Elephas maximus indicus: one gene and its partner. The protein of the gene in region 2 purifies or fractionates together with the protein of the main gene of each other region. This does not show direct contact. Links are inferred from orthologs where the notes say so. Each region holds a gene or a part of one and is shown on either strand. Other genes may lie near its edges.

Evidence for each region. The genes of interacting proteins can lie anywhere in the genome.
Region 1: the proteins of DDX5 (region 2) and IGF2BP3 fractionate together in Homo sapiens (co-fractionation; 3 studies listed by BioGRID, with this or other methods). This does not show direct contact. The link is inferred for Elephas maximus indicus from reciprocal best matches to the Homo sapiens genes DDX5 and IGF2BP3.

Annotation. Positions count from the first base shown.
Region 1 is NC_064826.1:84,499,674-84,507,484, forward strand, and holds the start of IGF2BP3 (insulin-like growth factor 2 mRNA-binding protein 3), read right to left. Parts: upstream 3,015-7,811; 5' UTR 2,585-3,014; coding exon 2,410-2,584; intron 880-2,409; coding exon 819-879; intron 1-818. UniProt on the Homo sapiens protein: RNA-binding factor that may recruit target transcripts to cytoplasmic protein-RNA complexes (mRNPs). This transcript 'caging' into mRNPs allows mRNA transport and transient storage.
Region 2 is NC_064837.1:55,713,892-55,720,983, reverse strand, and holds the start of DDX5 (probable ATP-dependent RNA helicase DDX5), read left to right. Parts: upstream 1-4,088; 5' UTR 4,089-4,273; coding exon 4,274-4,317; intron 4,318-5,534; coding exon 5,535-5,700; intron 5,701-6,062; coding exon 6,063-6,159; intron 6,160-6,244; coding exon 6,245-6,378; intron 6,379-6,509; coding exon 6,510-6,575; intron 6,576-6,969; coding exon 6,970-7,092. Other genes in the region: CEP95 (centrosomal protein of 95 kDa), read right to left, coding at 1,152-1,280, 3,239-3,257. UniProt on the Homo sapiens protein: Involved in the alternative regulation of pre-mRNA splicing; its RNA helicase activity is necessary for increasing tau exon 10 inclusion and occurs in a RBM4-dependent manner. Binds to the tau pre-mRNA in the stem-loop region downstream of exon 10.

The sequences.
Region 1 (7,811 bases), on a different chromosome or scaffold from region 2:
GAAAGGAGCCATTTCTCCAAAATGCTTCAGAGGCTAAAACAGTCTCCAAAATATTCTGTCAAGTGACACTACACATGCTCTCAGAGAAGGAGAAATCCCCCTGCTTTTACGTAGCACAAATCATCAGAGTTCACGATCTCTCGGTGGTAGATTTGTAAACAAAAATGTCTTTCAAAAAAAAGGAAGCGGAGACAAAGGCGGTGTTTGCAGAAACCTATGTAACTTTGGAGGGACTGGAAGGCATTTCTAGGGTGGAGAAGCCCAAGCGTTCACTCACGTGTTCCAATCCCAGCTGGTGAGCTAACAGGGTAAAGGCAAATTCCTCTCCTCTCATGTGCCTAGGGCCTGGCAGACTCAGAGACTCATCGTCGCCAACTTGGCCAGAGAAGGGCGGGCATGCCACACCCGAGCATTTCTGCAGCTGCTTTCGCCTACCCAGTACCTACAGGCATCGGTCATCCACTGCTTACTGCTTGCTAAATCCCGGATTCCCAAAACACTCCCCTTGGAGACTTCATCTCCCCTTGCAGTAACTTGACCTGCTCTGCCAGAGAATATTTAGCTGTGAGAGCTTCCTTGAGAGACTGCTATATTCAACAACCTAGTTGCCGGGCCACAGACAACCCCTCTTTTCCTTCGCAGCATTACACACACACACAGCTGCCATAAACTTAAAAGTGAGGGGAAATGACGAGAAACGCCAAGCCACACAGCAGCCCGACAAGCATAGGAGGCAAAAAAAAAAAAAATTGTTTTCAGCTGTGTAAAAAAGGAGTCTTTCAGTAACGAATCCGTGACAAAAGAATTATTAAACTCACCTTTGCCTTTTTGGGACCGAGTGCTCAACTTCTATGAGTTTCCCATGCAGTTCCACTTTACCTGTGGGCACACAAGAAGTGGGAAACGTTTGGCTGGGTTCAGCGGCTCTTCGAACCCAAAGGACCCTCAACAGCCTATGCAGCGACGAGTGGCCTCCTGAGAGCCCGAAAGGCCCCCAAGCCCCGGACGCGGCTAAAGGCCGAGAGGGAACCCTACACTGTGCATGACCTCCCGGCTATGTGTGTGTGTGTGTGCTTAGTTTACAGATTTGTGGGGAGTGGGATCAACTGGCAGGCCCACTATTTCAGTAACATTCCACCCCCTCCCGACAAGCCTCCCCTGGCCACTCAGAGGGTCACCCAACCCCACAACACCCGCAAAATGGACGCGGCCCTCCTCCCACCTCCCTGGACACTCCCATACGACAAACGGAGGGAGAGGGGCTACATTAGCTTCTTTCAGGAGGGGGCGCACGGGCCTTTCACCCGGTTCAAGCCCAGGCCCGCCGGGAACACTTTGCGGTAGGGTTGGAAAGGACGAAGTGTAGCGGGAAAGGGTCGAGAGCGCGGCGGGGTAGAAGAGCGAACGCCCAGAGCTGCATCTCAGCCCAGACTGAACATCGCGCGAAGGTCGGCGCGGCGCCCATAACTGTACTGAGTTGATAAGGGGGACACCGAAAGGCACTGGGCTCGCAAAAGCACCCCCGCGTAGGTTCCCTGTTGGGAGTCCCAGCCCAAGACCGCCGCCCCGCCACGCACGGTCTCCTGCCCTCGCCAGGCACCACGGGCGCGCCGCCACTCCGGAGGCCGCAGCCGGGCGCCGGGTTCCGGAGAGCCGCCGGCGGCCCAGCGCCGCAGCGGGGGCTCCCTCGCCGGTTACAACCGGCCACCCCCGCCCACCTGCCCAGCTTGCTCGTCCGACAGAGTGCAGTTGAAAATGAAAGCCAGGTCGCACTCGCTCCCCTCCCGCAGGGTCGGGAGGAAGCGCGGGGCCGCCAGTGCAAGGCACTAGCCCGCGGCCTCACTCGGCTGAGAGATTCGAGCCTCTTTCCTTTCTCACACTGCCGGGGTCTGGGTGTCTGCAGCGAACCCAGCGCCATAAATAACGACCAGAGAAAGGAAGGCGAAGCAGGCATTCACACTCGCCCCCACCCCCCCCCCCGGCCCGGTGTGTGGAAACCGAGAGAACGCGCTTGGGCCCGGGCTGGGCGCGGTGGCAGCGCTGACGGGGGTCCGGTGCGGGCGGCCGCGCCCCCCATCCCCGCGCACGGGCTCCGCAGCCGCCCCTCGCGCCCCTCCTAGCCCTGGCCCTGGTTTTATTGACAGCGGGTCCACCTTCGCCCGGCAAACCCCGGTGGGGGAGGGGAGACGGGGGGGAGCGGAGCTAGAGCCAAATCTGAGAGCACCCCGACCCCACACGAGTGGACGCTCGGGCCTCACACCCTCCACCGGCTCCTCGCCGGGCCTGGGGCCCCGCGCGGACGCCCCGGCGGCAGCCACAGGCCTGACTCCGGGCACCCGACCTCGGCGGGCCGGGGCTGGCGGCGCAGGGCTGGGGCAGGCGCCCCGGTGGGGCCAGGCCGGGGCCCACCTGAAAGCGTCTCGATGGCCTTGAGGGCCCAGCTCTCGTCCGGGCAGTCCACGAACGCGTAGCCTGTCTTCACCAGGAAGGGTCCCGACACCGGGATCTTGGCGTCCTTGAAGATACTTTCTAGGTCCGAAGGAACGGCGTTCTCGTTGAGGTTTCCGATATACAGTTTGTTCATTGTGAAGACTGGTAGTTTAAAAAAACTAATAATAGAAAAACGAAAAATTAAAACCACCCACAATGGATGGATCTGGCGGTTTTGTTCCCCTCGTCTTTTCGCCTTTAAAATGCACAAACCCAGTAAAAAACAAGGGCGAGAACGGGGAGCGAAATATCAGGTCTGAAGGTTCTTGCTTCTCCTTTTCTAGGTACAAAAAAAGAAAAATGAAAAAGAAAAAGCCTTGCTACAACCCAGACGCATGAACGAGTCTTCCTAACTCTGAGGAGGAGGCGGGATTAGCGAGAGAAAAGAGGAGGAGGAGGGAAAAAAAAAACTACTTTTTGTCTCTTCCTCCCCAACCCCTTTGGCATCGGCCAGCGGACTGTGAAAATATCACACTACGTGAGGGCAGAGCGCCGCCTCCCCATAAAAAAACCCAGAAGGGTGACTGGCAGGAGCGAGGGGAGAGGGGGAGGAGGGAAGAAAGCGCAGGAGGCGGAAAAAATCCGCTCCGAGTGTCCGGCTTTTTGAATGAGCCACGTGTTCAAACTACAAATCAACGTCTCACGTGAGGAATCCCAGCGCCTCAATTAGAGTGGGTTTCGAGGAGTGGGGGGGAAAGAGCAAGCAGGAGGAGGAAGAGGGGGAGGGGAAACGAGATTAGGCAAGGGACTCTGAGGAGGGGGAGGAGGAAAAATGCTAAGGAAGCCGCAGCCGGGCGCCAGGCTAAGCGGGGAGCTGATTGTCACAACAAGAGTTTAGAAAGGGTTATCTGGTCGGGGCGGCTCCTGAGGGGCGGGGGTTGGAATGTTGATTTTTTTTTTTTTTTAATGAGTAAAAGAGTGGGAGTGCTAACTAGACGATTCCTCAACTCTGAGTTTTAATCATTCTGTTTTTAAAGTAGGTGATTAACAAAACTAGAGCCACAATTCTGAACTAGTCCTGTGGCTTTGATGACATTATGTGTAACCTCGGCAAAGCCACGAGCACGTTTCCACGGCTGCCAGGGGCGGAAACGCAGAGAGGGGGTGGGGTGGGTGCGGACGGAGAGACGGCAGAAGCGCCCCGTTCTCTTCACCCCTCCCGGCCCGGGGAAACGAGAGCGCCTGTCTGCAGGATCCCAGGGCCGGGGCTGTGGGGGATGGGAGCCAGCGACGTCCTGGGCGGGTATCTGGGCGACACCTCCTCCGCCTCCGCCTCCGCCTCCGCCTCCGCTCCCTGTGGCTCTCGGCTGCGCGTTTGCCATTGGTTGCGCGTTTCAGAAAAGGCTCGGGGATAAATGAGGCCGGGGGCGGGCGCGGCCACCGGTGGGGGAGGGGGAGAGGAGGGCGGAGGTTTCTGGTTTAGGGATGGGGCCGTCGGGGGCTTTGGAGGCTGAGGGAGAGAAGTCAGAGTGGGAAAAGTCGATACTTAAAGGGAAACTCTCTCTTCCTGTAGCTTCTAGAGCGGGGGGAGGAGTAAGTAGGGTGGTACTTTTATTTAAATAATTTTAGTTGTCGAACTAGAGACTGTTAAAACAGGAAGACCGCTCTGCGTTACCTCTAGCTGGTAATCGCCTTTGCAAAATTTGTACGAGTCTCCTTCTGCTTCTTTTTCTGCTAGCGTTTGGGCATGAGAGCCATTCATAATTTTCCATGTAAGGAGTACAAAGGTGGGTCTGTGGGGGAGGGTCTGGGCACAGTGAAGCCTTCCAGGCCGACGAAACGTGGACTGGGGACGAGGAATACGGAAAGGAAGGCAGTGCTGGGGTGCTTGGGGAAATCTGGAAGTGTCGTTTAATAATTGTCTACCACTCAAAGGCTTCATTTGTACCATATACTTGTGGTATATGTTTTTAACAGGTATTCCATGGGAAAGACACAAATGTTAACCTTTTTAAGTGAATGAAATTGTCTATAGCATGGAAATATAAACAAGAAATTTTAATGACTTGATAATCTTATCGGTAGAAAAAGATGTATTGTGTAATAGAGAAAATAATGTGATTTAACTGGAAACATCTTAAACAATTACAACTGATGTAGTTCGTTTCTTTGTCGAAATCGTGTGTGTCATTTAAAAAAATTTTTTTTTATTAACACGATGTAATTTCCAGGGATAAAAGATGAATGGCAGATTATAAAAGACAAACAGGAATATATTGCATTAAGTATTTACCTTTTGTCTTTTAAAAGGAACTTATAAGTTTGTCTTATTTTAACTGGAAGGTGTCAGATCATCCATTTTATGTGCAACTGTTTTAACAGGTTTTTCTTTCCAGCCAAGCAAATCCACTTTTTTAAATGTATACTCACATTCACAATATTTTCATTGACGGTTAATTTAATGAAATGCTTTTACTTTATGAGATGGGGGACAAACATGTAACAGTGTTTAGAACTATATTATGAGCCCTATCTTGAAAAAACGTTTTGGTGGTGAAATTCAAGTTTATAGTTAGGTTTAACTTTAAAAGAAAGTTTTTGTGTGTGTTTTAAAGGAACCATGGTTGTAAAAAAGAAAAACATACGTCTTCTCCCTTATGACTTCTTTGGTATGCAAATGTAAATATCAAAATATATTTCTTTTTCGTGTACCTGTTGCATGTGATCAAAACTATTTGGAGAAATGTGCACTTAATAATCTTTGCTTTTTCTAAATGTTACTTTAAATTTTACAGACAAGTCTGTTGATCGTTTAATTCTTTTAGTAATTTTTCTGTAAGAACAAATTTTGTATGTTCAGCTTGCTTTCTAAATCGATTGGTGACTGATGGATTATTGATTGTATTTGCCCTTATTAAAACTAAGACCTAAATACTTCTAAAGCATGGGGTGGATGATTTATTTTCCATAACACTAGCCCATGCCAGTCTGTCACTATCAAACCTATAACAGCTGGAATTTAAAACAAAATGTGTGTTGTTTTGATGAAATATGTACCTGGGACTCTTGTGAACTTAATCTATTATTGTAACAAAATGGATACCCCATCTAGGATCTTAAAAACATACACATTATATAAGCTCAGACACTAACAAAAGGAGGTCGCTATATAGGCCAGTCCACTTCGAATCTTCCAAGCATTTGAGGAATAAGTATAATAAGCTCAATAGCAGAGCAAAAAGAGCATGAGTATTTTTTATTGGCACTTTAAGTACAAAAATATCTTTAGATTTTCAAGAGTCAGTATAAGGTCAATTTAACTTCCAGTATTCCACTACGTGTCACACAAGAAATTAACTGTGTATAGGCTACTCCAGATTCCTCCTGAAGCAGTTGTAGCTCCTAGTTAATGTTGATGACATGAAAAAAGGACTCCCACCGATTATTGTATCTCAGTTGCGGCTGAGTTTTTCCATCTGCAGCCTGTTTACTCTTTGGACAGCTGCACCTCCTTATCTGCTGATCTAATCGCAATAAAAATGTTTAGGGGGTCAGTGTGACATTAAGGGAGAAAAACTATGTTGAGAAGATCGGTTACCATTGCTGTATCCACAGGTTATCTGCGAGGGCTGCGCAGGAAGGGGAAAGGACATTCCTGTTCCTACCCGTCCTTCCTCCCAGCTGCCGTGAGACAAGCTGGGAGCCTAAGCCCTTCATGCGGGTGGGCACACAATGCCCGCCGCGTCGCATGGGCCTCACAGGAGGTATTTTAACACGCTCTTGCTCCTTCGAATGGCTCTCCTGGACTCTGATCTGTTTAAACCAGAGGCGTGATAAGGGGTAACGTGACTCTCCAGAATCTACCTTCGTTTATTATCGTTTGAAATTAAAAATGGTGCCCCGGGAGACGAGAAGATGGGGGTTGTTTCCTTTTTCCTCTGGCTCTTCCCCGAGAAAGAGGGCGGGATCCTTACAGCACACTGGGGAAGGTCCTTCGTCGGCCGCCTGCTCGCCACGAAGGGCCTTGACCATTGATCCACCTTCCCCCGGGCCTCGCCTCGGGTCCCGTCACTCGGCGCGGAGCCGCAAGGCCGGTGGGACGTGAGCGCCGGGAGAAACCTCAGTCGTTTCCTCGGCGGCACGACTCCACCTGAAGTCCTCCTTCCCCCGCGGCCCGACAGACCAAGCAGCGTGTTTGACGGCCTTCCCGCACCTCCGGCCTCAGCTTCATGTGTGCGAGGGACTGCCTGGCGCAAGGGGATGCTTGGTACCCACGGAAAAAGGCAAAAAGCCATCACCGAACCCTGCGCCTCTGTCCGGGGCGGGGCGGGGCAGCAAGATGCGCGCACAGGGCGCGCAAACGCGGCCCCGGGGCGGGGCTCCCGCGCTCCGCGAGGCTGACTCGCCGAGACCAAGTTGAGCAACCGGCGTCGAGAGAAACACCGCCCCTGGCTGAAGGAGGGGGCGGGGGGCTTCTCCCTCTTATCCGATTGGTGCAGAAAGGGAGCCTATCACCGTCGGCTACCTCCGCCGGATTCGTTTGCTGGTTTCCATTCATTGGCCCCCGAGCAGCCCCTGGATTTCCATCTTTTGTGGCGCGAAAATAACCCTTTGCTCCCTCTCGATGGTTTTGTTGTTGAGGAGTGAGATTCTTACTCTCATTTCTCCCTACCCTATTAACTGCTTGCTCCCAGCTCCAATCCCCAGGGAGGAAAGAAGATGGTAGCTGAAAGGGAGGTGTAGAAAATAGTTCTGCGGTGTGTGGACCCCGCCCCCTGGGCTGACCGCGTGGTGCCCGCACAATTCCTTTCCCTTCCCCCAACGTCCAGCGACCGGAGGTCGTCGGTTTGCGCCATGCTCAGCAACTGGAGTCACATTTTCGTTTCCCTGCCTGTTTCCAACATCTTAGAATTTATATATATATTTTTTTTTCTTCTTGTAAAAACAACCAAAAAATGCGTTTCCAGTTGCCTGGACTTCCCTTGGCTTCTAGAGAAATTCACTCGTCCTGCCCCCTCCCTTCCTAGCCCCCTTTGTGCTCCCCAGGGTCTTTTTAAGCAAAACCAAACAACCCCTGCAAGGAAAAAAAAAAAAGGCAAACGAAAAATTACGGGTAAAATCAACTATGCCGCGACAACTATTTCGTTAAAGCTGCTCTAGGACCAATGAAGCTGAGACCGATCTTGAAGGATTAGTGATTCGTGTAGCTGAAATGTTCTAATTTTACTGACATTTAGTGGAAACGGTGAGAAAAAATAAATATACATTTGGCTTGGAAAAGCACAAAACAAACGAAATAATATTTAATTTTATTAACTGCAAAGGTAAACAGCCTCAGTGTATTCTAAGTACTGCTGTCTTTGGTGGGTTTATAATTACAT
Region 2 (7,092 bases):
TAAGGAAATGCTAATACTCTGATAAGCAAGGCAAGAAATGAAGTGAGACATTAACCTCTAGCTGTGGCTGCTTTCCCAGGGCACAATGAGATAAAAAGCAGCAGCAGCAGGTATGAAAAGAAGAGTCTATATCCTTTAAAGGAGCCTATTGGGATTTATGGTATAAAGCTCAGTACAGACCAGTGTGGAAAGACTTTAATATCAAGTTTGGAGTTTCATTTCTGGTATTAAGGAAAATGAATATTTTGGGACAGGATGAAAAAAGTATTTTAAAAGACTGGTCTAATAACTGCCAAAGAGAATTAGAGATGGTTGAAACTAACATCAAAGATACCAGCTGGAGGCTATCCCATTAATCCTGGAAATGAATGAGGACACCGACTCGTGGTAACAGTGGGAAAGGAAGACAAGCTACACAGTTCTTAGAGCACTTAGTGGTTATTCATGATTTAAAGAGACAGAGGCAGAAGAGGACTCTGTGGGTAAGGACTTTAAGAGAAATAACCTGGGATACAGCAAAATGATGTGGTATTCCTAGAAAAAATGAGCAAATAACAACTTTGCAAGATGATTAAAAAAAAAAAAACCATTGCACTCAAGTAGATTCTGACTCATAGCGACCCTACAGGACACGGCAGAACTGCCCCATAGAGTTTCCAAGTTGTGCCTGGGGGATTTGAACTGCCAACCTTTTGGTTAGCAGCTGTAGCTCTTAACCACTATGCCACAAGAGTTTCTTTCAAGATGAGAGGACACGTGAATTTATTTAAACTGTCTTCTTGGCAAATTAGGTTCATAAAATACAAACATTGACTCTCAACTCTAATATTAAGTTGTGTAACAGGACCCAACAAGTTCCACTCACATTTAAAACCTTTAAAGGTACATTTTCAGAAAGTGTGTGGCTTTCATAAGGTATTGGGCATAATTACACAGATTAAACAATGATTATCAAGAAGCGTCCAACTGATTCGATCAAGGCTGTTATAGGTGGGTCCCATAAAGTATTCATTAAGGTAATGAATGCAATATTTAGATAAAAATAAGATGTAAACAAAGAAAAAACAGGAGATTTTATAATTACCAAAAGGTTTAACTAAAGGCACTACAATCTTCTGGCCCAAACAATTACTTGTTTTTAGCATCCTTACCTGGTACCCTTTCTCCCAAAATTGATTGATAAAGAGCAATAAAAACGTTAGAATCACAGTCTTCAAGTGCATGTATCCGCAGGTGTATGTGACATTTCAAAAGAAGGTTATTGGCAATGGTTACCCACTCTGTTGGGAAAAGAGGGGAAAAGATCAACCTCAAATAGCATTAGAAAAAGTTACATACGTACTTTTAAAAACCAACAACCCCCCACCAAAACACTGAACTCTGTAGAAGATAAAGAATTTGATAGTTACAGAATTTCAAAGACCCTCCTAGGCATTTTAAAAGAAATATTTAATTTTGGGGGATGACTTCCAGGGAGCAATAATTTCAGTGTAGTCAACACTATGGGGTAAGTCCAATTTTTACTGTTGCAATCTGAAATCTTTGGTTATTTATGCATAGTTTTTTTTTTTTTTTAATAAGCCTTATATGTATTTTTTTTACAGAAGCCTTATTTAGGTAAAACATATTTACAAGTAAATAGGAATATTATGTAATAAAAACTAATTAATGGATGTTGCTTCACATTCCCAGTAGTACTGGACATGTTTTTACCCAATTCTCTTGTGCAAGTCAGGATTTCTCTGGTGCCCAAATAGGTGGTAATTAACCTAAGCTGTTAATCACTACTGCATTTTGTTAGTTTTTTAAATTACTGTATTTGATGTATATGAAAGGAAAATATGGGAACTACATAAACACATCCCCGTATCCATGACCTAAGGTCAGAACTAGCACATCACCAATACTGTTGAAGTTCTCTGTGTACCACCCTGTCCTTCCAACCCCTCTTCCCCAAGATACTTCTGGGATTAGCAAAGTGTTTCAAAAGTTTTCTCAACCAAAGGTAACTGAGAAAGCTGGAAATACTTGTTTCCTAAAATGATAAGCCATCAAGTGGAAACCAGCATTATTCAGTACTAGATATATCTTCATTATGTTCTTGAAACAAATGAGTATTATTGTGGGGGGGGGGTGTGGAGGAATAGAAATTTCTCTATCACTACTGTTTTCCTTCAAAGCGCACTACTCCTTCTCCCCATTTCCCATGGTTGACAAAACCATGACAACTGGTTTGTACGCTGTCCTGGAGAAAGCGTCCTAGACAACCGAATCAATTGCCTTCCAAAGCCGGTGCTAGACAAAGCCGGTATCTAGAGGGCACTAGAAAGAAAAAAAACCTCAGGGCTTCGAACCGATTCATCCCCCTGTTGAGAATTTGCATTTTCACCCCAGATATACTGAACTAGAATCTCCATTTTAACAAGATCCCCAGGTAAGTCTTAAGTATGTTAAAGTGTAGATTCTGACCCAGTATATCTGGGGTGAAAATGCAAATTCTTACGGGGTCGAACAGGAACGAACGGTTCGAGGCCCTGAAAAAAAAAAAAAAAAAAAACCACTGTTCTATATTGGGGAAACCCTGGAGGCACAGTGGTTAAAAGCTAGACTGCTGACCAAAAGGTTGGCAGTTCAATCCACCAGGCGCTCCTTGGAAACCCTATGGGGGCAGTCTGACTCCCTATAAATCAGAATCGACTGGACGGCATTGGCTTTGGTTTTTTATACTACATTAACAGGGACCTTAACAGATCTTAAAAGTGCTACTCTTCAAAAGTTCACTGGCAGATACGTAAGCTGCATAAGCGCTGGGTGGCTATGGGAGTACACCTACGAACGAAAAAAAGAGCACTACTCCTCAAAAACTCAATACAAATACAGGTACGGCCTCAGTCCTCGCAATGTAAGGACATCGACAGCCAGATACTCCAGAGAAGTCGGGAGACGATCTTTTCTGACTGCTGTTTTTGCGATCTGCATGCGGGTGTGTTGGCGGCTTCGTCAAAGAGCCCTCTCTCCCCCACCCCAAATCGCTGTTCCACCGTCACGAAGCAGAGAGCGGTGCTGGGACTCTTATCTCTGGCACCCGCAGACTGCGACGGGATATGTGACAATCATGAATCTCGCAGGCAGCCTAGACTTAGGTTCGGCCCGGCCCGAGGCCTCAAAGTGGCCTGGGGCGTTCGGGGAGTCGGACCGCTTCACTCCACACACAGCACGGCGCCAGGGCGAGACTCACCAGGCTCTGAGCCGGCCATGTCGCGGAAGCAGGTCGTCGCCGGGCTCCCAGCCGGGCGCGTGGGAGACGGTGTCCTGGAAGGGCCGCACAGCACAGACACACAAAAACGAGAGGGAAGTGTGGATAAAGAGGTGTAAAAGAGGGAGGGACGTTAAAACGGCTTCTCGCTGCTGATTGGTCATTGGAGGAGCACTCGCTTTCACCGCACGTGCCTCGGCGGCGGTTTGCGGGATCTAGATAACATTCTCCGCGGGCAAGAGCCTGCCAAGAGGTTCTTAAGTCGGTGAGTTTGACAGGTTAGGTCACCCACCCGCCTTGACCGGTCACCGGGGGAATTACAACGACACTTCCGGTGAGTTATTTGATTGTGTATTCCTCCGCTGACTGGGAAGTAGTGCGGCAATTCACCCGGTGGGCGGGGAAGCCAGTCACGTGATAAGATCAAGCCCCGCCTTCCCTTGTTTGGTTTTGGGCGTGAGGGCTGTTTGGAGACGTAAACATTTCCAGGTGGGGAGAGTAGGTTGTCCTGTAGTGGACGCTTGATTTTCTGGGTTGGACCTGGAAAAGGTTGAGGTGGATTGCTTAAGGTGTGTAAAGAGGAGAAAAAGGCGAAGTTTTAAGGAAATACAGGATGGGGCATTTCAGTGGCGGACGGGTCCAAATATGAAAGGGGAGAAAAACGTATGGCCCCAATGGATGGACTCGGAGGGGGAGGGGTGAGAACATGGCGGATTCCGGAACGCAGGCGGGCGTTGCGGCCTCTGCGCAGGGGGCGGGGCGATTAGGTCATAGAGCGGTTCCCAGCATCCTTTGCGGTGGAGGAGGCGGTCCAGACTATAAAACCGGCTGCCGGGAGGCGGCCGGCACCTCATTCATTTCCATCGGCCTTTCGTTATTCAGCTCTAGGTCTTGCTGTCGCCGTCTCTCCGCCGCTGACGCCCACGCAAGGGTTCGCCGTCGCCGAAGCCACCCCTAAGAGACTCTCCGCACCGGCTTTTTTCGCTTCGTTCCCCACCAACCGCAACCATTGACGCCATGTCAGGTTATTCGAGTGACCGAGACCGCGGCCGGGACCGAGGGTGAGTATGGGAACCGACCTGTCAGGCCCGACGAGTGGGGGATGGGCGGGAAGTGGGTGGCGGGGGCGCCGCCATCGGCACATCGGCTTTTTCGGCCTACGCCGAGGTCTTCTTAGTTAAGGGTTTGCGCCGTTGTGGTAGTTTTCTAAAACCGGTTAGGGAGGACTTGCTTATTAACGGCCTTCAAGCTGCCTTTTTTTTCTCCCCCGCCCCTGGAGCGGGGGCGGCGCGCCCTCGGCGATTTTGCAGTTGGGAGAATTCGGAGGCGTGTATCGCGAGGGGGAGGAAAACGGGATGCCTCGGGGTGGATCAAGTAGCCTCGGTTAGATGCACCCTTCCGGGAGGTGTTTTAGGGGTTCAGGGAATTCTGTGGAAGCGAGGGGCCCGCTTCCGCAGCCATTGAGGCGGTGAAGGCAGGAGGGTGGCTGGCGCCGCCGGATTCGCCCATGTGGCTGCGCCGCGGGTACAAAATGCCGGCCTCCGACATGGCGGCGGCGCCTTTGTTACCCCGCCCGGCGGAGGAGCTCAAAATGGCAGCGTCGAGAAAATGTGGCGCAGAGAGAAATGCGAGACAAAGGGGAAAGCGCCGCCCCAGCGGGAACGCCGCCCGACCGACTCCGCCCGGGCGGGACTCCTCCCCCGGTAGTCGCCGGCTCCTCCTCCTTTTTTTCCTTGTGTTATATAATTTACCTACCTTGATGGGGAGCTTTCCCAAGGGACACCCCCAACCCCCAACTCGATTCCCTTGCATAAGGGTCCCCGAGGCACCGTCCCCGTTGTTTTCTTTTTATTATGTCTCTGTGTTATCGATTGTTAAAACCAAAGTTAAAAAATAGGGGTATAAATAACATTTGTCTTGGGCTTGTCCTTTTTTGTATCATTTCGTTTCCTGGATGTTTAATTTCTAAACTGGTGGGAACCACCATAGTTACAAGCTATTGTCTATCCATCTAATCGGAACTTCCAGCATTTTGGTAGCCAGTTTCTGACATAATAAGTTGGGGGCTGTTTAGTGTTCTTAATTATGTGTATTTGAGATGATAGCAACTGAGATACACAATGGTAACCCTGATTGTTGAATGACAGCTAAGTGTAGTTTTAGGCTTTGTGTTCCTTAAGTCTGATTTGAGTGAGCTTTAGCAGGTGCTAAGAGATGGTAAATAAGTCTTTCAGCCCATAGGTAGAGATTGGAAGTCTGAATTATTCTGTAATTTCAGGTTTGGGGCACCTCGATTTGGAGGAAGCAGGGCAGGGCCCCTGTCTGGAAAGAAGTTTGGAAATCCTGGGGAGAAGCTAGTTAAAAAGAAGTGGAATCTTGACGAACTGCCCAAATTTGAGAAGAATTTTTACCAAGAACACCCTGATTTGGCTAGGCGCACAGCGGTGAGTAATTTCATATGGCTTCATCAGGCTATGGAACCCAGTAACGGCTTCTGGTAATAAGAAGCTGAGTGCAAGTGTCTTGCAAATGACTAGATTTGGGGAGATTCATACCTTCCAAGTTGATAATAGGGGAAAGCTGTGTGATTCACTTTTGGAAACAGGTGGCTTTGAATTTTCCTTGGAACAGTTATCTTAGGATAATAGGTGGTTTTTACGTGTTTTAAATACGGTTTTTGTACATGAATCTAGATTTTAAAATCACTCACTTTAAAGTAGCAAATCGTAAGTTTAGGGGCTTTCTAGTTGCATATTTAGTTAGGGTGGGTTGTTAGGAGACTTACGAGATTAATGTTGTTTTGCAGCAAGATGTGGAGACATACAGAAGAAGTAAGGAAATTACAGTTAGAGGCCACAACTGCCCGAAGCCAGTTTTGAATTTTTATGAGGCAAACTTTCCTGGTAAGTGTTTGTTCTGAATTTCACATTTACTATTTCTTTGTCTTGGCATTACTGAGTTTTGTTAAATTGCTGTCGCTATTTACAGCAAATGTTATGGATGTGATTGCAAGACAGAACTTTACTGAACCTACTGCTATTCAAGCTCAGGGATGGCCAGTTGCTTTAAGTGGATTGGATATGGTTGGAGTAGCACAGACTGGATCCGGGAAAACGTTGTCTGTAAGTTTTGAGAGAGCACTTTTGCATACCCTGTGGTATGTGCTAGAGAAAATGGCTTTGGAATTAAAAGACCCTGGGAGTATTTTAACAAAACTTCTGTTTTTTCCTCTGTTTTTCCCCACCCACAACAGTACTTGCTGCCTGCCATCGTCCACATCAATCATCAGCCGTTCCTAGAAAGAGGTGATGGGCCTATTGTAAGTATGTACTTCATGAAGTTCCATAGTAAGGAGGATATAGAAATTTGTAGAATATAGAGAAAAACAAGATAATTGGTGGTTTCGCGTAGAGAGATTAGTTGGAAACTCTGCTGTTTTGGCTTTTGGACAGCACTGTTGAGGAAACGGAAACCCTGGTGGCGTAGTGGTTAAGTGCTACGGCTGTTGACCAAGAGGTCATTATTTAAAATCCACCAGGAGCTCCTTGGAAACTCTTTCGGGGCAGCCTACTCTGTCCCATGGTGTCGCTATGAGTCAGAATCGACGGCAGTGGGTGGGTTATTGAGGAAATGATTTCCAGCATAACACTAATAAATTCACAATTGAAGATGAGAGTCCAGGTCTTTGCTAAAAGTTGTTTGTTTTTCCTTAGTGCTTGGTGCTGGCGCCAACTCGGGAACTGGCCCAACAGGTACAGCAGGTAGCTGCTGAATACTGTAGAGCATGTCGTTTGAAGTCTACTTGCATCTATGGTGGAGCTCCCAAAGGACCACAG